2 linked regions of the Kluyveromyces lactis genome follow. The protein of the gene in region 1 purifies or fractionates together with the protein of each later gene. This does not show direct contact. Links are inferred from orthologs where the notes say so. Each region holds a gene or a part of one and is shown in the gene's direction. Other genes may lie near its edges.

Evidence for each region.
Region 2: the proteins of COX12 (region 1) and RCF2 purify together in Saccharomyces cerevisiae (affinity purification with mass spectrometry; 3 studies listed by BioGRID, with this or other methods). This does not show direct contact. The link is inferred for Kluyveromyces lactis from reciprocal best matches to the Saccharomyces cerevisiae genes COX12 and RCF2.

Annotation. Positions count from the first base shown.
Region 1 is NC_006042.1:1,577,793-1,589,890, forward strand, and holds COX12 (cytochrome c oxidase subunit VIb), read left to right. Parts: upstream 1-5,057; coding exon 5,058-5,306; downstream 5,307-12,098. Other genes in the region: ribosome biosynthesis protein RRB1, read left to right, coding at 1-976; RIC1 (Ric1p), read left to right, coding at 1,305-4,319; DPI35 (Dpi35p), read right to left, coding at 6,354-7,277; mismatch repair protein MLH2, read left to right, coding at 7,525-9,357; POM152 (Pom152p), read right to left, coding at 9,422-12,098. UniProt on the Saccharomyces cerevisiae protein: Component of the cytochrome c oxidase, the last enzyme in the mitochondrial electron transport chain which drives oxidative phosphorylation.
Region 2 is NC_006042.1:568,319-581,052, reverse strand, and holds RCF2 (Rcf2p), read left to right. Parts: upstream 1-5,966; coding exon 5,967-6,632; downstream 6,633-12,734. Other genes in the region: KLLA0_F06061g (uncharacterized protein), read right to left, coding at 83-340; protein transporter TIM23, read left to right, coding at 1,482-2,141; RRT12 (Rrt12p), read right to left, coding at 2,840-4,366; IMG1 (mitochondrial 54S ribosomal protein bL19m), read right to left, coding at 7,529-8,044; BUD23 (18S rRNA (guanine1575-N7)-methyltransferase), read right to left, coding at 8,354-9,157; RCI37 (Rci37p), read left to right, coding at 9,723-10,616; threonine--tRNA ligase THS1, read right to left, coding at 11,016-12,734. UniProt on the Saccharomyces cerevisiae protein: Assembly factor that plays a role in the assembly of the respiratory chain supercomplexes (SCs) composed of ubiquinol-cytochrome c oxidoreductase (cytochrome b-c1 complex, complex III, CIII) and cytochrome c oxidase (complex IV, CIV).

The DNA of each region.
Region 1 (12,098 bases):
CGAAGGTGAAGATGAGGATGAGGATGGCACGGACCCTGTCATTGAGAATGAAAACATTTCCCTTAAGGACACTACCAATAGATTGAAAGTGTCTCCTTTTGCCAATGCAGCTCAAGAGGTATTGTGTAGCACTATGTCTGAAAATGGGGAAGTATATATTTTTGATCTGGCTTCTCAGGTGAAAGCCTTTGAGACTCCTGGATACCAAATCCCAAAGCAAGCCAAAAGACCCATCCATACTGTAAGAAATCATGGGAGTGTCGAAGGTTACGCTAATGATTGGTCTCCAATTATAAAAACTGGTGCAATGCTATCGGGTGATTGCTCTGGCCAAGTCTTCTTAACTCAAAGACATACTTCCAAGTGGATTACTGATAAACAAGCCTTTACGGTTGCTAATAATAAATCTATCGAAGACTTGCAATGGTCTCGTACAGAATCGACTGTATTCGCTTCGTGTGGTATTGACGGATATATCAGAATTTGGGACACTCGTTCTAAAAAACACAAGCCAGCCATTTCGGTTAAGGCGTCAAATACAGATGTAAATGTTATAAGTTGGAGTGAGAAGATTGGATACCTACTTGCTAGTGGTGATGATGACGGTACTTGGGGTGTATGGGATTTAAGACAGTTTACTCCACAAAATGCATCCACTGCCTCCCCAGTGGCACAGTATCAATTCCACAAAGGTGCAATTACTTCAATTAGTTTCAATCCACTCGATGAATCTATAATTGCTGTCGCATCCGAAGACAACACCGTTACTCTATGGGATTTGTCTGTTGAAGCTGATGATGAAGAAATTAAGCAACAAGCTGCTGAAACTAAAGAATTACAACAAATTCCTCCCCAATTGTTATTCGTACATTGGCAAAAGGAAGTTAAGGATGTAAAATGGCATAAACAAATTCCTGGCTGTTTGGTAAGTACAGGAACTGATGGGTTAAACGTCTGGAAAACCATCAGTGTGTAATAAACTCCGTTTTTATTATTATTATTTACAAATTAAATCCTCTTAATCTTTACTCGCTCGCATGTAAGTTAATAAAACAGATAAAATGGACAAATTTTCTCCTCTCGACTACATTTGGAGTTGATGTGACTCATCGTTTAGAACACTTCATTTATTCTTTTAGTTACTGTTGTATGTCTTTATTCACAATTTGGTAATAGCTTAAATAGTAGTCGAAATCAAAGATACGAAAAAACATCATGATCTACAGTTTTCATTCTTTATGTTGAAGGATAAACAGGACATGAAGGTAAGGGGCAATTGAGGCTAAACAGAAGACTTATAGACGATGATGCTCCCAGTAAAACCACCGCAATCATTTCAACTTCCCGGACGTTGTATAGAGGGTATCGATGAGGATATCATTCAAACAATTGAGGCACCTAATTCAAACCACTTCCTTTTTATTACAAAGACAAGACTTTTTGTTTACCAAGCCAAACCCTTTGCTCCATTAGCATGTCACGAACGTACTGCTGAGTCTATTGAACTGTTTGGTGTCAATTTTGGTATTAGAGATAATTTACCTCTTGGCACTGAGGTAAAGGGTTTCCTTACAGGCCAATTTTGCGATCCAGTAATAGATGATAAGCGGTTCTACTATGTTATAACCAAGAACAACTTTCTGTTGGTTTACGAATTATACACCAAAACATCTGAAAATAGCGTGTTCAAAGAATATGGCATACCGTTAAACTTGCCGTCAGATGATTCTTTACTTCATAGAGCTCTTGATGATGATATGGATGATGAGGTATTGACAGTTTTTTCTGCTAAGGAAAATCATAAGGTTATACAGAACGGTTATACAATCTCCAAACAAAAAGGCTTCTTGCAGTTTATGAAAAATGATGATATAGCTGAAGAGTTACCGATTCGCAGGACGGAATTGAAATTAAACGTGGTGCTAAAATTTGACCATCAAATTTTCGATGTTATTGGTATAATTACGCATGATATAGAGCGTACTGAGCATGCTAATCAATACCTCTTGGTACTTTTTGAACATGGGCTGCAAGTATTGAAGCTTGAGGACTTCAAGCTAATTGACAATAAGCTAATACATGTAATTAACGGTAAAAAGCTAATTTACTGTGCTGGTGAAATTTTAGTGTTATCTTACGATGAGCAGCAACTATCTCTAGAGCATATCCTTTTCGATCAGGAAAATGTGAAATCTCAAAATATAGCATTGAAGGGCCCATCCGGTGTTTTTAAAGATTTAGTAATGTTTGACCATTTGCTTGTAGTTGCGTTTGAGAAATGTACCATTTACTACGACGTCTTTGATAAGATTTTAGTCAGTGAATATCCGGCCATAACACACGTTTCTTGCATTTCAGCCATTTCTCCCGATACTATGGTATTGTTGACCGAAAACAACTCAGTTATCTTTATGAGTAAGTGGGGAAATATATTATTATCAATCCCAATCGATGAGAGCCAATTCAAAATCCTGCATTGCTCGCTTATAGATACCAAGCTATTAATAAGTGGATCGAATGGTACTCTACAGCTTTGGGATCTTTGGAAAAAGTTAGACAGTTCTCTCTCCAATTTCAGAACAAGTCAAGTCTTCACTTTACTCAATGATAACAATGATATACTACTTTACTCTCCTATGAGTGATTCCACAAATACGAGCACTTTTCAAACAATTAAGTTACCGACTAAAACAGTTAACAACAACATTAGTACCTGTAAGACAAATGGGATTTTGACGTTAATGGCAGTGTATGTAGGTAACAAAGATATTTTGCTCATCAATTTCTTGAACTCCAACACATGGATAAGTTTTGACCAAATGAATATCAAGAATATCGATTGGCTTGGGGACGACTATTTGCTATGCCATGTCACAGATGAGGATTCTGATAAAGAAATGGTAAAGTGCTACCATTTCCCATTACTGAATGATGGATCGACGAATCTTGAAGATTTCAAGACTTGGGAATGGGAGGTACCTCAAGGCTACCAGTTGGATAATTTCTATGCGAACACTTTGTCGACATACAAGATGTTAAAATTCACTGATGAAAGGGAGGACAGAGATGATGCCAGCAAAAAGGTGTTTGTTACATCGGAGATACTGATGGTTCTTTCGAATTCGCATATGATCATATTCGATGCACTAAGTTCGGTACATCCAACTGGAGTTAACATGGTTCAGAAATTTCATCAGTATGCAGAGTATAATTTCCCAGAAAATTCCTTACGCGGTTTAAAATGGATATACAGATATAAAGAAGGGTTTATTGCATGGATTCGAGATCAATTGGTAATTATTGGCCAACAAGAGGATAAGCAATGGCGATTCCAAGTAGCATACGATCGGGTGGAACAGATCTTGGAGATATATGAGGACAATCTTGTACTACTTAGTGGCAACGAAGTATTATTATACGATTTTGCTCACATATGGACCGTCGATGATCCCCTAATCACTACACCGGTCATCGAAGAAGAGTATCCGATTTCAATTTCATTAGATACAGCAACGCTGCATAATATTTCATGCATTACAACACAAAAGTTAACGAAACTCTCAATATCACACGGTGTGTACTTAGATAAGATTGTGGACCGGAACTTGACACTAGGCGTGGAAGGCGATAAAATTGATGAGAAGTATCATGATTTGAAGCACTACAAATTTTGTTTGGAAAAAATTCTATCCAGTAAAGTATTGGAACATGAGGACTTGAACTCCATATTATCATTAATCGATACCTATGATAAAAATTCAGGCGGGATTAAGAATGAAGTTGGTAAACTTGAAATCGTAGGGAATTGTTTAAGAAAGATCGAAACAAAACATTGGGACTACTTATTTGAGAATCTAAAACTAACTCCAAGAGATCTTATCACCAAGTGCATTGCTCTATCTGAAGCGAAGATCTTGGGTACGCTTTTGATGGTATTCTTAAACTATGACGAGGGCGATAGTGAATCTAAACAGGAAGAGGTCACGACAAAGTCCACAAAACGAAAGAACAAGAACAACAAGAACAAGAACAACAAAAACAAGAACAAGAACAAGAACAAGGAAAAGAGCCATACAAACGGACTCAAGGAATCTGATAGTAGAGAGACTTCTCCAGATACTAGTGTATCCACCATCCTAAAAGACGAAACAGTCATAGGTCAAGTCCTCAAGATATTCGTATCCACTGCCACTCTTTCAACTACAAAAGAGCAAGCACAAGAGTATTGGGATTTCGCTCTACAACTAATTCGATTCTTAAGAGCACTAGACAGTAAGGGAAATACTACACTAGCACAGACTTGTCTGGACATGATCTAATTAATACTGGGAAATACCTTTTTTCTAACCGCACTTGTCACGTGATACTCGGCCAATCACAAGGACTGCATCGTCAAAGACGATTACATTCAAACCCCATATAAAATATGTATGCTCACACTATTCAAATCAAACATCTCGTGCCATAATAAGAAGATGATGCGTTTTCTTGCTGAATGGAAAAGTGTTACCATCATATACTGCGATTTTTTCGCAATTAACCAGGTATTTTACAGTTACGCTTTTAATTGAACGAAGCATATGTACTCCTTTCTCTGGTACTACACAGCTGTATACTAGGGTAGATGTAATATTCAATTGACCCCTTTTACGCTGGATATATACTAGTAATATTACTATTAAAGTCTATGTCTGCGGAGTATCTGTTTGTGCTACCTCTTCTTAATGTTACGATATTTCATCTTTTTTTTTTTTTTCATTCCTAATGAAATTTTCGAATGATATTTTCATAGTTTTTCTTGAAGCCGAAAAAAAGATTTTGATTATTCTAACTTTCTATTTAGTTTAACTGATTAGTTTTTAGAATTAAAATAAAGAAGTTTAAGAACTATTCTTTTCAATTCTTGTTGTTATTTTTGTTTTGAGTTTTAGTTTTAGATTAGTTTGAGATTTGTTTGTTCATTCTTATTCAAAGATATTTTAGTTTTGTATTGATTTTGTTCAGGTTAATTAAGATCACTCTTTGTTCAAACATCATCACCGATAAACCCTATTACAATGGCTGAAAATCAAGAATCTCCATTACACACCGTTGGTTTCGACGCTAGATTCCCAAACCAAAACCAAACAAAGCACTGCTGGCAATCGTACGTGGATTACCACAAGTGTATCAATGCTAAGGGTGAAGACTTCGCTCCATGCAAGGTTTTCTGGAAGACCTACTCCTCTCTATGTCCAGTTGACTGGGTTGAAAAGTGGGATGAACAAAGATCCCAGGGTATCTTTGCTGGTGACATTAACCCATAAACTGGTTGGAAATATGTGATATAATGCGATGAAAAAAGAGGCAGTTAATTAGTGAAGAACTAGTTTAGGAAAACTAAAAACAAAAAAAGATGATATTCATTTGGAGCAAGATGTGACAACAGATACTGAAATTATCTGTTATGATTCGTACTTAACGTATCTTCCTCTTTTATTATTTTCATTCACTTTCCTCGAACAATGGCTTCACTGTTTTCTGTCCCATCGATTTTTCATTCATTTTCTTTTTAAAACAATATATTTATTATCCCATTCACATCCGTCCTCCGTTTCCCCTTTCGATGTTATTGTCACTTTGTAACGTTTTCCACTCAATATAAGTTTCAGCGTCTTGGATCATCATTCCAGACCTTAGTGTGGAAATTAAGTAACATTGATGGAGATCCGGAAATCCCAGTACAAGTTTCACTTTTATTAAAACAATACTCTCATAAAAAAAATTTACAAAGAAAGATCAATTTAGAACACAGTTTAAACTTTGTTACGTACCCACACATCAAAACAGTGATGAAAATACATTCTAATATCATTCAGGAGCCAAATACATATATTTACTTATATTATTTTTTTTTTAAAATCCAAGTCCTATTATATTTCAGTACTGTTCTACATCCAGATACCGTTACAACGGATACGCCATTCTTCGAGCTCCATTAACCTGTAGCTAGAAAAGCACGAATCATGTTTCGTTGTGTTTGGCATTACAGAGAATTTGACAAATCTCGGAAACTAATAATTTGATACTGAAGACATGAGCATGCTATGGCAGTAGATGATGCTCATCAAATGTATATACCTGATAGTCTTGACTAACAATCGTGTCGGGGCAAATGGCGCAGTTGGTAGCGCGCTTCCCTTGCAAGGAAGAGGTCATCGGTTCGACTCCGGTTTTGTCCACTTATTTTTTTTCCAATCCAAAACCTGACAGTAGCATGGGTACGCAAGGTGGAATTTAAGAGAGGGATAGTCCATCATACAGAGTGTCGTTTGCTCAATCAAATATTTACAGCACTATATCTTAAGATGCCGCTACTGCTGAAATAATAGGGCCTCCAATGATTTAAAATTTGGTAAAACATACTGTCTGCTGTTTAATTGTACTACATCAGTGACTGCATCAGATTCTTGTAATATAACCTCTGAATGGTGTAACACTTTCCTCAGAGATAAATCATCTTCTGATAACTCCTTTTTGCAAACATCAGGAGTTGTTATGTCGAAGTAACCGAATGAGTTTGATCTATCTACAAGAATTCCATTTACTCCAGCTTGGAAAGCTCCTCCCAGATCCGTTTTCTCCTCATCACCAACATGCCAGACGTGTGGCCGAATATTTTCCAAGTTCTCACGTTGACCACTAGTGTTGTGGCGTTTCAACATATGAGAGACCGCGTAATTAAACATAGCCGGGTCGGGTTTTTTTATCTCAAGATCATAAGACAGATAGATATTTCCGTCGAAATATTTCTTAAGATCTAAATTCTCTAACAACGTAAGGACAATGGGGTCAGTATTACTGACGATCCCCAAAGAAACCTCAGGATGGTTCCTCCTCATTGTCTCCAAAAATTCCCTGACGTCTGGGTATACCGTATAGGCAGCATCGCCCTCGAACCTTTCTAAGATTTCTTCTACCATTTCATTTGGTATCTGTATTGGTTCAAACATATCCCTAATTAGATACTCCCACCATTGTTCAGCCGTGATACCAGAATTTTTACCATATAAAGGATACTTTTTACGGATATTACTGAAAACCCCTGGAAATCTCTTAGTGAGTTCTTGTGGATTACCATTAATCCCGTACTTGGCACCCACTATACAATACTGTTCCATTACAGGTTTTTTGATGGAATAAAGAGTATTATATGCATCAAACGTTATGATTTTTGGCCGCGAGTGCTGCAAACTGCCATTTTTGAGTACCTCTCTAGGAATTCTTACCGGTACCATATTTCCCCGGTTAGATTAACGTTACTTGACTTCAATCTACTACTCTGAAATCGAGAGCTTTTCTATGTTTTATTTCTTTTAATGGTTCAACTTGGTATACATTTTTCAGAAAAAGCTTGGTCGAATGTACTCTGAAGTTCATCAACTTAGATCTGACATATAAATACAGAAAGCAGATATACAATAAAAAGATGCCTTAAAAAGGAGTAGAGATTCTGCCCAGGGATAAATATTGTAAAGTCGCTGTATGAATAATAGGTTTCATTGTTGGCTGTTTGAAAATAGCACTTCAACAAACCGTGTTATTGATAATCCTGTCTCGGCGGTTAAACAGCTGATAGAGAATTCGATAGACGCCAATTGTACTAAAGTGCTGATCAAAATAGATGAATCTAGCGGCGGATGTAGGTACATCCAATTGAATGATGATGGTAACGGAATAAGTGTCCAGAAGCGCAGCAGCGTTTTTGTTAAACACTTCAAAACTGACGGTAAATCATGCAAAAGAATAGGGTACAAAGGAAGAGCGTTATATAATATTGGCAAAACAGCATCGAAGAAGGGATCTATCGAGGTGATAACACGGACTATTTCAGAGAATGTTGCTGTTAAATGGTCACCACCTAGAATCAGAATAAATGAAACTATTAGATTTTCCAAGGTAGTGAATCCACCGGGTACGACAGTTATTCTCAGAGACCTAATGACGGGAAGTAAAAGCAGTAGACTGGCAAAGAAAGATAAAAATTATATTAAAATGATTAGGGATATGCTTTTTCATTTTTCTTTGATTCATAAGCATATATGTTTTAGTTGCCAGCTTGTCAATCCTCTAAGGGACGGAAGTATCAAGACTTTAGAATATGTTGCGCGGTTTGGTAAATATGAAGACCGGATGTCGCAATTCAAAAAACATGTTACCAAACAGAATCTTATAGTTGAGTTCGAACACTTTGATGAGATAGAGCTAAGTGAATCTCTAAAAGTTAATATCATATTGCCCAAAATTCGAACACATGGCAGAGTGACAGAATTGATGCCGAATCTTAAATATCCTTGCATTAATGGAGAAGCAGTAATGGTACAATCAGGCTTTGGTAAAAAAGTCAATCATTTTTTCAAGGAATTTTATAAGCATTTCGGGAAACCAGAACCGAGGGCATGGTTCATTCAATTTTTATGCCACCATACTAGCGACAATGCTGTAGTCAATGGCGAAAATAAAGCTGTCGCACTTACACTGGAAAAAGCTCTATCTATTTTGCAATGTTCACTGCTCACCTTCTACGCTCCACACATGCAGTATAATGATCCTTCAAATTCTACCCATATTGATAGTGAATCAGTGATTTTCACTCGTAGAATAATTAATACAAGTGACATTCCAAAGCAAATTCACCGGCAAATAACCAATAACCCTACTCAACAAATTCTCGAGAAGGAATCTGAATGGTTGACAGACATGTATAGCGGCACGCTATCCGATGGTAGATCTTCACCAGTAAGGGAAAACCTTCTATATTCTGACATTGTGAACACCGAGGATTGCTGCATTGAGCGAGATCTTGAAGACGTAGAGCTATCCAGAAATACGACTCTTTCAAATCCATTTATTCTTTCTCGGATCCGTGCCAGGAACACTACAGAGATAGTTGACGATCAAATTAAAAGTTCGGGCATACTAGAAACATACTATCAGAGGCAGACGCAATCTTCTGAGTTTTTTCAAGAACCAACAAGCAAGAGAAGAAGAATTTTGGAAAATGATCCAGAATATGACCATTCAACAACCCTTGTTGATATTGAGCATACAGCAACCAACAGCTCTACTAAAAACCTCGACTTACAGTTTGAACATACTTTCAATCTCGGATGTCGCAAAGCTGTCGGCCGAAGCGTTCCATGGAAGCTTCGTTTCTTGAAAAATGCCTATAAGAAGGAATTGGTCTGGTTCCACAGGAGCGGCATGCCCTCATTACCTTTATTGGATGGAATACAAACGCTAATGGAAGGCGAAGATAGTGATGTAGATTTACAGCTAATTCTTATGCCAACAGGTTGGTTTATGATAGCCCTATAGTTCACCACTTTGAAGGATCAAATGAGTTTTAAGATGGTTATTTATTATACAATGAAATCAAATTTCAATCCAACAACGCACGATTCTTAGCTGCGCAGAAGGCGTCTGACACTTCTAAAGCTTCATATGTACCTTGTAGACTGGTCACAACTCTGTACTCGTAAGTATAGATATCGGAAACTTTGTGTGTTTCAACAATTTGTTGCTTTCTGCCCTTTTTGGTGCCAGAGTTTTCAGTACGGACGTAGGTTAATGCGAAAGGAGGTGTACCTTCGAAGGAGAATATAACTTCAGCTTTGTCACCTTCATGAATATCTTCAACAATCTCTTGGCCTTGTGATACTGTTACCGACGGAATTGGATGTATATTCAAAGATAACCTTTCAAAGTCTTGTTTCATCTTCGGATTTGTGAAATCTACTACACATTGTGATGAAGAATCCTGGATTGAAAAAATAGATATAACGCCGGGCTCAGATGCATATCTGACGAACTGAGAGGAACGTTCCTTGGATTTTAGCTGCTTACCATTGAAGTCGTACTTTATTATGAATGGAGGTGTCCCACTCAATTGGTATCCAACGTAATCCCCAACACAATATTCCATGGTAGAGTCTGCTAGGGATATCCTAGGAACGTCTGTTATTGATATTGAAATCTGATTACCACTCGAAGATAGGTCATTGATACAACCGTTTGCATCAGTAACACTATCAATGCTTACTAAATGATTTCCCAACGAGAGGCCATCATACAATCGTTTGTAATCAAAGTTAGCAGCCGTAATATTATGCATGGTGAAAGAATCTGTTTTCGAAGAACTTTCGTGATAAATACTGAACGAAACAGAGAAAGGAGCTGAGCCATGAGGCACCTTCAGTTTGATATCCTGCATTAGCTTTGATTGCTCTATGTTTGCGGAGCAGGTTCTGTAGGTGCTTCCTTTCTCTAAGAATTCTATTTCTGGAAGTGAGTTTACATTCTGTCTTATCGAAAGTTGAGAAGGTTTGTACGCAAGTTTTTGGAGGTCAGCCTTCCCATAATTGGAATCATATACATTCTTAATCTTTATCACATATTCACCAACGACTTCATTAGGGAATTTAATTGAAGCATACTTCGTAGCAACTTGCACTGAAGATGAGATAAGCTCTCCTAACGGTGAAATCATATCATATTCTATCAAAAAGGGTGGTATGCCGTTTAGAGACATATCGATGGTTTCTTCAAACCCTTGGCAGACATCATTTTTAATGTAGTTGAAATCGTCCAGTTTTGAGATTCTGTTGTGCTCAATTAATGAGTACGTAGGTTTTTTGAGATAACTTACTTGGAAAGTATGGTTCGGATCTACGATCTTGCCAACACAACTCTGGTCACGAATTGAAGCCAATTTATACAAACCTTCCTTCATAACCTTTAAGGCCGGTTTATAGTTGGAACTGAAAGTCACCTCTTCAGTTTCGAGAACGTCTCCCTTGTTATCCAAATGGCTATAGGTGATTCTGAAAGGTCCTTCACCTGAAAGTTTTAATGGAAGTTCTGCGAATGAAGCTTCTTTAATGCTGACTTGGGAGGAAGATTCTGACACAGCAAAAGAAGCAGAAGGAATATCTCTTCTAACGGTAATTCTGGCATCAGTACCACTTAGACCTACCAAACATCCACTGGAATCCTTCACAGAAACTAAAGATAGGATATGATCACCACCAATGTTGAAATTAGGTGTTTCGATCTCATAGGAAAAACTTTGAATATTCTCTTTATTAAACGAAGTTCTCTTATTAGAAGAAGTCTCTACTAAATCATAGTTTAACGTGAAAGGAGGCTCACCACTGAATTTAATAGGTACCTTCGTTTTCCCTCCAAGACATAATTTTGTCTCTAGCTTCCCTGAAATCTTTGCACTAGGTTTCACTCTCATGCTGGTTTTGAATGTGTACTCTTTCGAATCTAAGGAGATAGGAGATGTGAAAAGTTCATTTGACAATTCGGTGAAAACAATTTCATAACTGCCTTCTGATGTGGGTGAATAAGTAAACTGGTTTCTGGTTCCTTGGGAGCTGAATTTTTTTGTATCATATAGTTTACGTTCTCCTTGCTCAGTTTTGTATATTTTTGTTTTGTAGTAAAAGGGAGGAACACCGGTAAAAGTAAGATCAAAATTCAAGCCGACCTGTCCAACACATTGATCTAATATTGGGGTTGATCTTACAGATAATTGAGGAGGAATTGGTTTAGTTATCAGAACATTAGATTTTCCAATCACGGCACCGTGGCAATACCTCGATTTTACTGAGAGCAAATTATAAGAACCTGGCTCATCAACTTTGAATTCTAATGTTTTATCATTGAATTGTTTTTCGAAGTATCTCACTTTGGAGTTGTTATCTTCATGGGATAACTGAACGATGAATGGAGCATCCTTGTTAAAATCGCCAGAGTCCAATTTGACTATTAAAGACCTTCTAACAGAACTGTCGGGATTCATTTTTTCATCCAAAGATACTCTTGGTAAGTCGTGCACGTAGAATCTGTGGATCAAATCATACTTTTCTCTTACTTGTGATGATAATGAGGAAAAATCAATGCTATTACCAAATCCATCCACAATTCTTTCGATAGAGTAAACATGTTCACCGTATTCTTTGGTTGAAGTTTCTAATGCGATATCTACAGGGTACGAACGAGCCCATTTTAAATCTTGGACATCTTTTTGACTGTAGAATTTTGAATTCGTT
Region 2 (12,734 bases), about 1.0 Mb from region 1:
AATTGTTACAACGGTATAGAAAAAAGCGTTAAGCATACAAGGGGTGAGCAGCTGTTGGAATGAAAATTTAGATTGATAGAAATCATTTCGCATTTTGTATTCCAGCTTCCTTAATTTTCTTCAATAGGAACTCGTCGTAACCGACTCTCATTTGGTTCACCTTCTTCAACTCGCAGTGGTGCAACTTCGTATCCTCTTTCTTAGTATTGTATAGATCAAATCCAAGCGTCACTGAGACTTCGGAGTCAATCTCCTCTAATATTCTGATCCATTTGTGTCGCAACAACACTTTTTCGGACTCGAACAAATCAAATTGGACTCTAGCACTACGTTCTGCCATTTTTTGTTTGTATTTCAATCACTGGGTGAAACTTTTCGTCATAAAGCGGGTTAACAGCTTGTGTTTTATCGTGTAATCACAGTGTAACAAATCATCAGAGAATGAAAATTGATGATTCTCTAAATTATTCATCGGAGTTTTTCTGAGGGGCAGACTGACATATGTTCCAGCGTCCTTTTCATGTAAAACTGCACTCTTTATATTAAATTTATGTTTATTCAAAAGTGTGAAGCCTTGAAATGCGTTAGTGCATGTATGCTACCTTAGTATCTGAAATGCTTTCACAAATTATCCCAGGCGATTTTAAAAAAAAACATTAGCGACAGTACATTGATATGAAAGGTTTATACGGATCCCTTTATATATATATACTGGTTTGAAAATGTATAATTTCAGAAAAGTCGTTTCCTAACAAATCCCCAATTTTCCTTTGTATTCTTTGTACGAATTTAAGGGCAATGCGCTCCTTTTTACAGATTTCTATCAATCTGCGTAGGTAAAGTTTCATCCAAAGATACCTCAGTTGATATCTGTTTGGAAACCCAGTGATAACTTTTGCAATGTCGTGTGAAATAACATTGTCTCATGGCGGGCGTCAGTTTTAAATATTTTTTTTGTCGCTAGAAATGCTAAATGAAATGACAAATTTTTTTCTCTCTGTTTACCCTTCGCTGCGCTCAAAACAGAGGTCAGCTACATCTGCAGAACGGTTCCGGTTACATGAATCATCATTTTGTACGATTCGTTGATTTTACCTTGAATGGTCTTGAAATCACAGAGTCTCTTGTGAAGCAAGAAGAAACAAGAGGAAGAAAAAAAAAACCGTAGTTCTTGAAATATTTTGAAATTTTGAAAAATTAGTGAAATATAATTTTACAATCGAAAAGTGTTTAAAGTAGTAGTATGATACGTTGAATCACCCTCGAAGGTTTGAGTTGTAGATACTAAGACAAAGACATCTTTTCCGTATTGGTATTTTGCTAGGTTACCATTGCATTTCAGTCTATCAAGGCAATACTCCGATAAATACAGGGCTTCATTATTGTCGAATACGGACCGGGTCTAATCTCTTCCTGATTTTTCATCCTTTGACCGATACCATATAAACTAAGGCTAATAATAATAATAATAAAGTATAGCTATGTCTTGGCTCTTCGGTGGTAAGAAGTCATCTACAGACTCACAAGAAAATACTACACCAGTTGAACAAAATGATGATAAACTGAAACAAACTCTAGGATTCGATCCATCATCAATTTCGAATGTGTCGAACGTTATTTCTGTTCCAGGAGGATTAAGTCCATCACAGCTTCACCCATTAGCAGGGCTAGAGCGTGGTGTTGAGTATATGGATTTGGAAGAAGAACAGCTTTCTTCAATGGAAGGTTCTCAAGGTTTGATTCCATCTAGAGGTTGGACAGACGATTTATGTTACGGTACTGGTGCTGTATACTTGGTTGGTTTAGGTCTTGGTGGTTCTTATGGGTTCATTGAAGGGTTGAAGAACATCCCACCTAACTCACCAGGTAAATTGCAATTGAATACAGTATTAAACCATATCACAAGAAGAGGTCCATTTTTGGGTAACAATGCTGGTGTGTTGGCCTTAACTTACAACTTGATCAACTCAGTGATCGATTCTTTCAGAGGTAAGCATGATGTTGCTGGCTCAGTGGCAGCTGGTGCTTTAACTGGTGCTATTTTCAGATCTTCTAGAGGATTGAAACCAATGGGTTACGCATCCGCTTTGATGGCTGCTGCTGCTGCAGGATGGTGCGGTATCAAGTCTGTAATCTTATAAGTTGAAAGAAAGAAAAGGATAAACCTGTGGATATATAAACACACGATAAACTTTTTTTTTCGTTTCCTTTCATTCTACACTACTATTACATTGGGTCTTAGAAATGGTTTGCATGAGGATCCTGTTTCAAATGTGAAATATGCCCCTAATGTCTCGTATTTACTGACCGCCCATTTCATCCAATTTTATCTTACGTTTGCATGTTGAATTCCCCTTTCGTATAATGTACAATATGATGACAATTTTAGCAAATTCATGCTATGTTCCACCACAGCACCATTCTCGCCATGCATGTTTTCCTACTCCATTACCATTTTCTACACCATTCTTGAGACTGTCGATATCTGAAATCAAGCATCAAAGAGTGAGCTAGAAATAAAGCAGCAGCTTGTTTAGAGATACATGGTCTTGTATATATTTTAATAAAGTCATCTTTCGTCAATATTTTTCTTTTCTATTATCTGCCTCTCCAGGCGGGCCTTGCTGGTACTCTAGCAATTATAACAAATTATAACAGCATTTGTGACGAACTTACAACGAAATGGTCTAACGAAGGAAGACACTTCATCACTAGTTTGCTCATAAATTAATATCATGTGAATAAAAGGGCATGTGTCTTCCTGAAACGAAACGAAACGAAACGAAACGATTTCTTGCTCTAAAACGAAAACAAAGTGTATATTATGTATGTCAATATATTAAGAATTGTTACTCACTTTTTTTAGGAACTTACTCAATCGTGGTTTAAGTATCTTTCTATCATGTGTTACTAGATTAATCATCTCGCCACTTGGCGGTTTCACTCGACTTGTAGCTTGCTTTAACTGATCCATGAATTTTATCTCATCAATCATCGGGTAAACTGCGTAAGCAAATTCATCATCCTCTTGATTGTTTCCTGTATAGAGAACCTTATTTGGAGTTCTTGGTCTTACAGCAATAGCTCTCTTCTTGAAAACACCTCTCGTAGCAGTCTTACTCAATATCTTTCTCACTTCAGCAGGGTCTGCACCTTGATCCAAATAGATGGCAGCTGCACCTGCTACTATTGGAGATGCCATTGATGTTCCACTCAATACAAAAGTGCCCCGGCCTTTATTGGAAAGGGATTTCACGTTGACACCAGGAGCCCATATATCAATACAAGCGCCCCAGTTTGAGAATGGTGCCATTAGATCGGTTCTATCGTCCATTGCAGCCACAGTAATTGCTTTCCTGACCTTAGCAGGACTGTACCAACATGCGTTCAATCCACTGTTTCCTCCAGCAACAACAACCACGACACCCTCTTCGATTACTGCTGAAACAGCTTTATCTAAAATCGAATGGGTTCCTGGTGCACCGAGACTCATGTTTATGACACATTTTCTCTTCTTTCCGATGCATTGGTTCACGACATATTCCAATCCTTCGATGATATTTGTGACAGTGCCTTTTCCCATGGAATCTAGGACCTTCACTTCAACAATATTAACTTTCTTGGCCACTCCATAAGTCTTGGAACCGATTAAACCTGCAACATGGGTACCATGTCCTACGAGATCTCCGGAGCCTTCTCCAGTAGTATCAATACCTTTCATAGCCCTTCCTTCGAAATCGGGATGGTCATGATTAACTCCACTATCAAGTACATAAACGAAAACCCCTTCACCCTGGTGTTCTTCATGGTAATGGTATTTCAATCCAGATGAGGTATCATCTTTCTCGATGACTGGTAACTGTGCTCTTCGAGAAATTCTTGCTAGATGTCTTGGAGCTCGAGATTGTGAGATGAAGTCATCGCTAAAATCGGTATCTCCATTGTCTGTATCCTCGTCGTAATTATCATCATCTTCATAAGTATCACTCCCCTCATCTTCTTCTGCCTCTTCCTCATCTTCAGTTTCGAAGTCATATTGATCATTGTTTAATCCTGAAGCGATTTGTGGGAACTCATCGAACAAACTAATCTTCACATTAGCCACAACATCACTTATAAATGGTACATCTTTCAACTTATCCGCTAGAACAGGAGGAATATCAACAGAAATGGCATTGAACTTACCGAATGAGAATTCTCTGTGGATCTTCGATTCTATCAATTCCTTGACACTGGACCCGCCGATTTTAAAGTTGAAAACATACCTTAAAGCTCTTGGAGTCTTCAAGCTAACAAGGTATTCAGTACATATGACAGGATAAACAAAATGAAGCCAAATAACAAAAAGAGTCAAGATACCTCGCATTCTGACTGTTGAATATTTTCTCTGCTGGTAGTTAACTATCTTGCAATCTTATCTCTTTCTGCAAATATTGTTGACAAGACTAGGGATGGAGGTTAGTTGCCTTAATACACATTTTTTCTACTAAATCCATTTTCAGTTATTGTGGTAAATTGTACGATTTAAGAACTCGGAACCCTGTCATTGTCTAACGAATAGTGTGTCGAACCAGGGACATGATTAAAGTCGCATACTTTTTAAGTGTTCACATTATTATTTTGTGTCGCGCGTCAGATAATATCCGAAGAGTCGAAGAGTCGAACAAAACGATCCATGAAAAAAATAAAAAAAAATGACGTATCAGTGTTCGCTTATTAACTAGTTGAAAAAAATCTTCAATAGTCTAATATGCGTTCATTTTACAAGTATTTCAGTAGAGACTCAAGCTAGTATACATATCGGTTACGTCAAAACAGAGTGATGTACAAAACTCTGCTGGCCATATTCAAAGCAAAGGCTTTCCACATATTAAGCTCTTTTTCTTAAGAGTAGAAACCTGAAAAATAGTATTTCGGCGATTTCTCAAAATGGTAATCACTCTCCCTTGTATTAAAAGGTCAGGCTAATGAACGCAACACTGCACTAATTGCAATGGATATTATCCGAACGATCCGATGCCTTAGGTCCAAAACTGAAGCTTTTCGAAGATCCTGTAACTCTATTGGATGAATCTGGTAGGTTCCAGCTGTTAGGGTTAGTCGATGCATATTCTCTGCTCTTCCTTTTTTTTTAAACATGTGTGACTGACCAATCATATCACAGGAAACTTTGTGTCAAGGAAATGTGGAGCCACAACCGTGGCAAATTCCGACCGGCTTCTTCTCAGGTAACAACTACTAAAACCACTATCTCCGTATGCACGCGCAAATCCTTCTGAGTAGGACAGTTCGTTCGGCTGGTCCCACTTAGGTATTAGCTTCGCTAAAGTATGGATTGATTTTGAACATCAGTGTAATGAACATAGTCACTTTCTAATTGACGGAGTTATTTTCAGACAAAAACTTGTCTGACCTTTGGAAGAAATTTCAATCGAATGGTTCATTGATACGTTGATAGCAATGAACAGGTTACGCTGAGCCTGTTCATGGGCTGGCAACAAGAACGAGAGATATAGGGTTTGGCTAACTGCCAAAATTACGTAACATCAGTAGCAGTGCCTCATGGACAATCATAAATCCTAAATCGTATACGATATTGCAGGAAAAAGAAATAAAGGAACAAAGAATATTTATCATACGGGAAGGAAAAAAGTAAAAAAGTAAAATCGAACCAAAATTAAAGTATAATTGGAACAAAGGCAGGGAGGGAATTTAAAAGTATCGTATATAAGGAAGAGCATTCTCTCGGTTTATTCGTTTACAGAATCATTTCAAATTATATATATATATATCGTTTGACAGTTAAAATTTGTTAATGCTTATCCTCTTGGCTAAAATAAATATCGGGATATATTAGGATTTTGTTCCAGTATTAATTCGATATTTATCACCTTATTTAAACTAAGGGAATCAAAAGTTAGCTTAAGAGATAAGTAACTGAAAGACGAAAAAACCAGCACAGCAAGATGAAGATTTTAACAAGAGAAGAAATTGATGCTCATCGTCACTACACCCTGATGGGTGGTGTTAAAGGTGCAGCTGCAGGTCTGTTAATTTCTGCAGCTATGTTCAGGTTTTTACCCCATCGTTATCCTAAATTCAATCCAAAGGCTATGACATGGTCTGTCAAGACTGCTTTATTCATCACGCCTCCAACTCTTTTGGCTTCTATTGTCGCTGAAGAATCTTCTAACAGTTTTGATAAGAAAATGTATGGTGACTCTTCGTCCAGTGATATTCTTGCTGAACATAACAGATGGAAGAACCTGCCTATGAGCGAAAAATTGGTCGAAGGTTTGTCCAACAATAAGTACAAGATCATTGTTGGTGCATGGGCTGCTTCCTTGTATGGATCCTGGAAATTGGTTGATAGGGACTTATACATGACCAAAGCCCAAAAGGCTGTGCAGGCAAGAATGTATGCTCAAGGTATAACTGTGATTTTGTTACTAGCCTCAATTGGTTTATCTATGTACGAGGAAAAGCTACATCCAGATCAAAAGAAGGAGGCTAGAGACCGTCGTTGGCAAGCGGCTTTGGAGCATGCTGAGAAGGAAGAAGAGATGGCTGCAACCGCTGGTTACAGAAGTAACGAAGACAGAGTTAAGGCCAAGATTTTTAAATATGATTGAATTTTTGAAGAATTCAATCTAGCTGAGGTGAAATACGATATTGCCTTCACACTACAAGGCGTACAATTCTATTTTCACCCTCATCACATCCTTCTTGTGAATAATTTTGACCCATATACTATTAACTGTTTTTTTTTTACAGCACTGCCTTGTACGAAATGAAATGAAGCAGATCTAACGTACCAAATCTACCTTTCATGGTGAGTTATTTTGTCTCACATTATTCTATGTCATGACAAGTTAATAAAAGAAGATCTATTTTTTATCATTGATTATTGTAACAGTTTCATTGCATCGTGGCGCAACCATCCACGAGATCAAAAATGCGGGCGTGCTGCCTTACCTGTTATGGTTGTTTTTTAATGTCAGCTTATTTCAATTTTTTTTCAATAGAGACGGCTGGTACGGCTTTCATAACATTATACCACTACTTTTTTGAACCAATCAAGAACCTTCATAAATTATCAAAAATGCGGACCAAAATTGCTTGTAATCTTTTCATTTCTAATAGAGCAACTTGCTCACTCAATGCAGCTTTGTTTTAGATAGAGCGTACAAATCCTTTCTTATGCTTATCCTTTCTCATGATTTTCCTTTCTTATTGGATGCACTTGATGAGGTATAAGGACTAGCATAATCCGCCTTTTTATTTTACAGATTATACAATTATATATCCACCCGACATGCTAATGATACAAATAACTTTACCTAGAGAAGCTGGACCTGCATAGAGTACCTTGCATTATGGTTCAACTCTGGAGCTCTTTCAACTTTGAATCTTCCTTGTCTTTGGGTTTGCATTGATATCGAGCATTACTTACTATATGTTTGAATTGCTTCTATGTACATGTTTCATTTTATGAAAATTCAGCAAGTGTTTGATAGTGTGAATGTGCTCATTTCTTCTTTCTCATACTTGCTTCCAAATCTCCGACATCCAATCTGGTGTTTCTGATGTAATAATGTTTACTTCTGCGTCTCTTACCATCCGCTCTTCTAATCAAATCAATTCTCTCTACCAATGGTGAGAAGATTGGCACTCTCATTTCCACACAGGTTTTATAAATATAATCTCTTAATAGAATGGATGTGTCTTGTACTATTGGCTTACGGTCTACCGATAGCACATATCCAGTAAAACTATCGTAGTTGCATTTCTTGGAATCGTAAACTACACGAAGAACATCACCTGCACGTAGACGATTTGGGTTTTTCTTTGAAACCATCTCTGTTTTTACACCAGTTGGGTCAAGTTGTTTTAGATCATGATCAGCTAGAGTCTTCACTACTAATGGGGAGGATATTCTTTCAACTGGTGGGTAAACTGGAATAATCTTTCTTCCACTCTTAGCTGGAAGTTGATAACTTCTAACAGATTGTCTGATAACGGTAGGTAGTAGTCTCTTTAACATTGTATGGGACTAATATAGTTTTGGAATGGGAACTTGATCTGACGGGTAGTAAAGGCTTAAACTCAAATATAAACTGCGCTTCAGTGCTTTCTTAACTCTTAGGTACTTATGTTTCCATCTTTTTTAACCAAAATTTTCGAATGTTCTTTCTATGGAAAACTACAACATAGGTTTGATGATCATTTTAAACGTTTTGATCATGGCAGATGCAATAGACACGGAAAATGGTGAATGAATGATAACGTTTCAGTCCATGTTTGCTGATTGTATTAAGTGCGTATCTACTAATTCTATATATGCAAGACCATACTAAAACCTAGGTCTTCTCTTTCTACCCGTAAACTTCGAGTCGAGAGCTACCTTTCTACCTCTTTTTTTCATCACCTCCTTCTTTCTGTTGATGTAATCCTTACTTGATTCAACTAGTTTCTTTTTACGCTCTCTCTTTACCATTAGATCTGCATCCATCTTAACACCATCCAAGTTGACTTGTTCATTCTGTTCTGTAGATCCGGAGCTTAATACCAAGTAGTACTTCTTGTTCTTTTTGGACTCGGGATCATCAATGACAAGGCCACCAGAGAATCCAGCTACTTTTGCTGCTCCCAAGATTTGGTCTATTTGATCATCATTCTTTGGATAGAATTGTGCTACAAATTTTCCTCCTTTCTTCAAACTAGCAAATAGTGTATTGAAGAACCTCATGAGCCTTCTCTTTGGATCGTTGTACGATGTGTCCGCATTACATAACCATTGAATCACAGATATACTAATTGCCGCATCAAATACACCTGCTCTAAATGGAATACCTTGACCTATATCGTGTAACATAAGATCACCTTCAACTTCTCTTTCTAGCGCTTCAGCTAACATACTAGGAGAAATGTCTAATCCACACCATATATGTCCTTCTTCAGTGATGATTTCACCACTTAAACCAGACCCACACCCAATATCCAAGATATATGATGTATGTGGCAGGTTGAGAAGTTCTAAGGCCCGAAGTGTCATTTTAGCTTGAATATGTTGCACTCTTGTGGAGCCACTATACTTCTTAGATTCACTGTCATTGTAAAACACTTCTGGTGGTGCCAAATCTTCTGGACGTGACATTTCGATCTCAAACTTCTTGTAATTGTTATCCTATTATACTTTATTCCCGTCAGTTGATTAACAGAGCATATCAATGCAAACAGCTTGCTCAAGTAGCCATTGTTAGTTCGTAAATGTTTGGCGATGACCGAGATGAGCTTTAAAATTTTGAATCAAACGTTCGGAAAAGAAACTTGGTTGTAGTAAAGAATGTGGTCACGTGCAATAGGGAACGTATCAAGCTAGTAGATATAAGATTACAAGTCCTTACTATCACATTCAGTATAGCGCCTAATGCTCTTTTACTGTTGTATTGATCAGTATAATCGGCTAAGTTTTGGAATATTTCGCATTATGTGGCATATTTGTTAAATTACCGTTGTTTGCGTAAATATACATAAGGGATGATCGATAATTTGAATGTTAAGATAAAGTGAAGTTATGGTAAACTGAGAATGTTAAATAACAACATCAGAAGCGCATTGGAAGCTGTAGTTTTGCAAGTGTACGAACTATTAGAATAACGAGCGAGTTCTGCTTTTTTTTTAACAGACATTTTTGGAAGTTTCGATCTTCATAGGAAGTAATGCAGGGAGATAACGCAGAAACGCAACAAAACTCACAGAGATCATTCCCAATGGGATTTGGTGTAGATAAAGCGATGCAAAACCCAGCTGTTGTGAATTCACCATGGTTTAAAAAAGCGTATGACAATGCGTTGGAATTTTACGAGAAGGACAAAGTATTGGATCCTAAGGATCGATTGGAACTATCTAAGACCTATCTTTCAGTAGCAAGGGCCCAATTATGGTCTGGGTGGGGTGCATTTGCAATAGTTACTGGTATTCCTTTCGTTAATCAATACATGAAAACTGGAGCTATAAAAGGGACAAAAGTTACTAGAGCTTTTGCTCTAGGATTCTTATCTATGTTTATTGGCACACAAGCTGGTGGCTCCTTGGCGTACAAATCTAAACTTAAGGCTGCTAAACCAGACATACTGGAAGATGATCCGCATTTGCCAAAAAGTAGTCGACAGAAGCAGTACGAAATTCTAAAGCTATTAAACATGGGAATGCCTACCAGATGGGCGAACTATTATTACATGACATATAAGAATCCAGAAAGAAGAATTCCTGATCCCAGACTTGTAATGGACAAATTGAAGGAAGGCAATTCTGGCGTGAGAAACTCCTCAGTTTTATTCGACAACAAGGACCCAATGGGGCTATATACAGGACCTCAATACGATAAGAAGGAAGGTGTGCCAAAGACTGGTGTCTCTCAAACTACCCCACCTTCTCAGGTGACTCCGAGGGATGATTATGATCCATTCAATGACACAGAGACACAGGAACCCACTCTGTCATCGTGGGACAAAATTAGAAAGGAGAACACCGCTGTAGACACAAAGAATGGTAAATCATGGGAAGAAATTAGAAAACATGATTATGATAACAGCGATACCAATTATAAATAATGAAGTTCGCAGAAATCTTATCAGGATTATCCTGCATCACGCAGAACAAAGGAGAGTACTTGTAAAAAGAGATAAATTTTCAAACATCATACATGACAACAGAACAAATCACACTTAACAGAAGGCTTGATTGCTCCGGTAGAGCTATATTCCATCTATGACAACGAATTAAAAAGGTCCATCATTCATATTATTTCCGATGATAATTAGTGAAATTTATATTAGTTTATATCTAACAATATACATGAGTTAAGAGACAGAAAAGATAGTTAGCTTAAATATACGACTTGCATGGTAAGGGAGTTAAAACGACGAGATAGTGTTGACAAACTATAACTGTTGAAAGGTTAATAAATTAGAATTTCTGTTGACAAATATATGATCGGTTTGGATATTCCTTTAAGCCAAGACATTATCAGCTCTCTTTTCTTCCTTCAACTTGGACAATTGGTTAATGACAGCGTCTACTTGAACGGTGGCGTTCTTACCTTGTAAGTCCATAACATCCCTGTTTCTGATATTAACGGATTTTTCAGTCATCTCCTGTTCACCAACAATGAAAATGAAGTTATATTTCAACATTTGACCGTTCCTGACCTTCTTTTGTAGGGTATTACCGGTGAGATCAACGTCTGCGTAGAAGCCAGCTTCAACCATCTTGTCACGAACTTCTTGAGCATATTCTTGGAATTTAACACCGACTGGTACGACAAGGATTTGACGTGGAGATAACCAGAATGGCCACTTACCAGCAAAGTGCTCCGTCAAGATAGCAGTCATTCTTTCCACAGAACCTAAGATAGCACGATGAATCATGACCGGTCTTTCGTAATTGTCGCTACCTTCCAATTCCTTGGTTTTGAATTCCAATTCAAATCTATTTGGTAGTTGGAAATCCAATTGAATGGTAGCACATTGATGCCATCTCTTTAGGGCATCGGAAATCATGATATCGATCTTTGGACCGTAGAAAGCACCATCACCTGGATTTAATTCCCAGTTACCACCCCACTTCTTCAAAGCAGTTTCAAGTTTGGATTCCGCATTGTTCCAGGTCTCTAGTTCACCAACGTATTTTTCTGGTCTAGTGGATAGTTCCATCTTGAATTCGAAACCGAACACACCATAAACGTATTTTAAGAAATCGAAAATGTTAGCGATTTCATTTTCGATTTGGTCTTGGGTACAGAAAATGTGAGCATCGTCTTGTTGGAATCTTCTTACACGAGTCAAACCAGACAAAGCACCGGAGAATTCGTTTCTGTGAATGACACCGAAATCAGCAACTCTCCATGGCAATTCTCTATAAGAACGTTCACGAGCCTTAAACATTAAACAATGACCGGGACAGTTCATTGGTTTCAAACCAAATGTTTCCTTTTCAACTTCGAAGGAGAACATATTTTCTTTGTAGTTAGCCCAGTGACCAGAAGTTTCCCACAACTTGGAGTTGTACATGTTTGGAGTGATAACTTCATCGTAACCTCTCTTACGGTATTCGCTTCTCAACAAATCAACTAAAGTGTTGTAAATTCTGGTACCGTGTGGCAGCCAGAAACAAGAACCCGGAGACATCTCATTGAAGTAGAACAATTCTTGTTCTCTACCGATCTTTCTATGATCTCTCATGGAAGCTTCAGCTAAGAATTTCAAATGAGCATCCATCAATTTCTTATCTGGGAAAGAGATACCGTAGATTCTTTGTAATGAGTCATTGTTGTTGTCTCCCAAGAAGTAACAAGAAGAGTTCTTCAATAGCTTGAAGGCCTTGATACGACCAGTATGAGGGATATGTGGACCAGTACACAAATCGATCAAGGACCCGCATCTGTAGACGGTGGTGGCGCCTCCATCCGGAATCTTGGTACTAACCAAGTAAGTCTTATACTTGGAATAATGGAACATCTTCAATAAATTTTCCTTAGACATGACGAGTCTTTCAAATCTTTGCTTTTGCTTGATGACGTTCTTGGAAACACTTTCCAAGTTTGGGAAATCAGCTTGTGACACAGTTCTTTCTGGAGAATCGGCATCCATTGAATCTCTGCATGCAAACTCGTAGAAGAACCCGTCATCAGTTGGAGGTCCTAAACAGATGTGAGCACCTAAGTTACATTC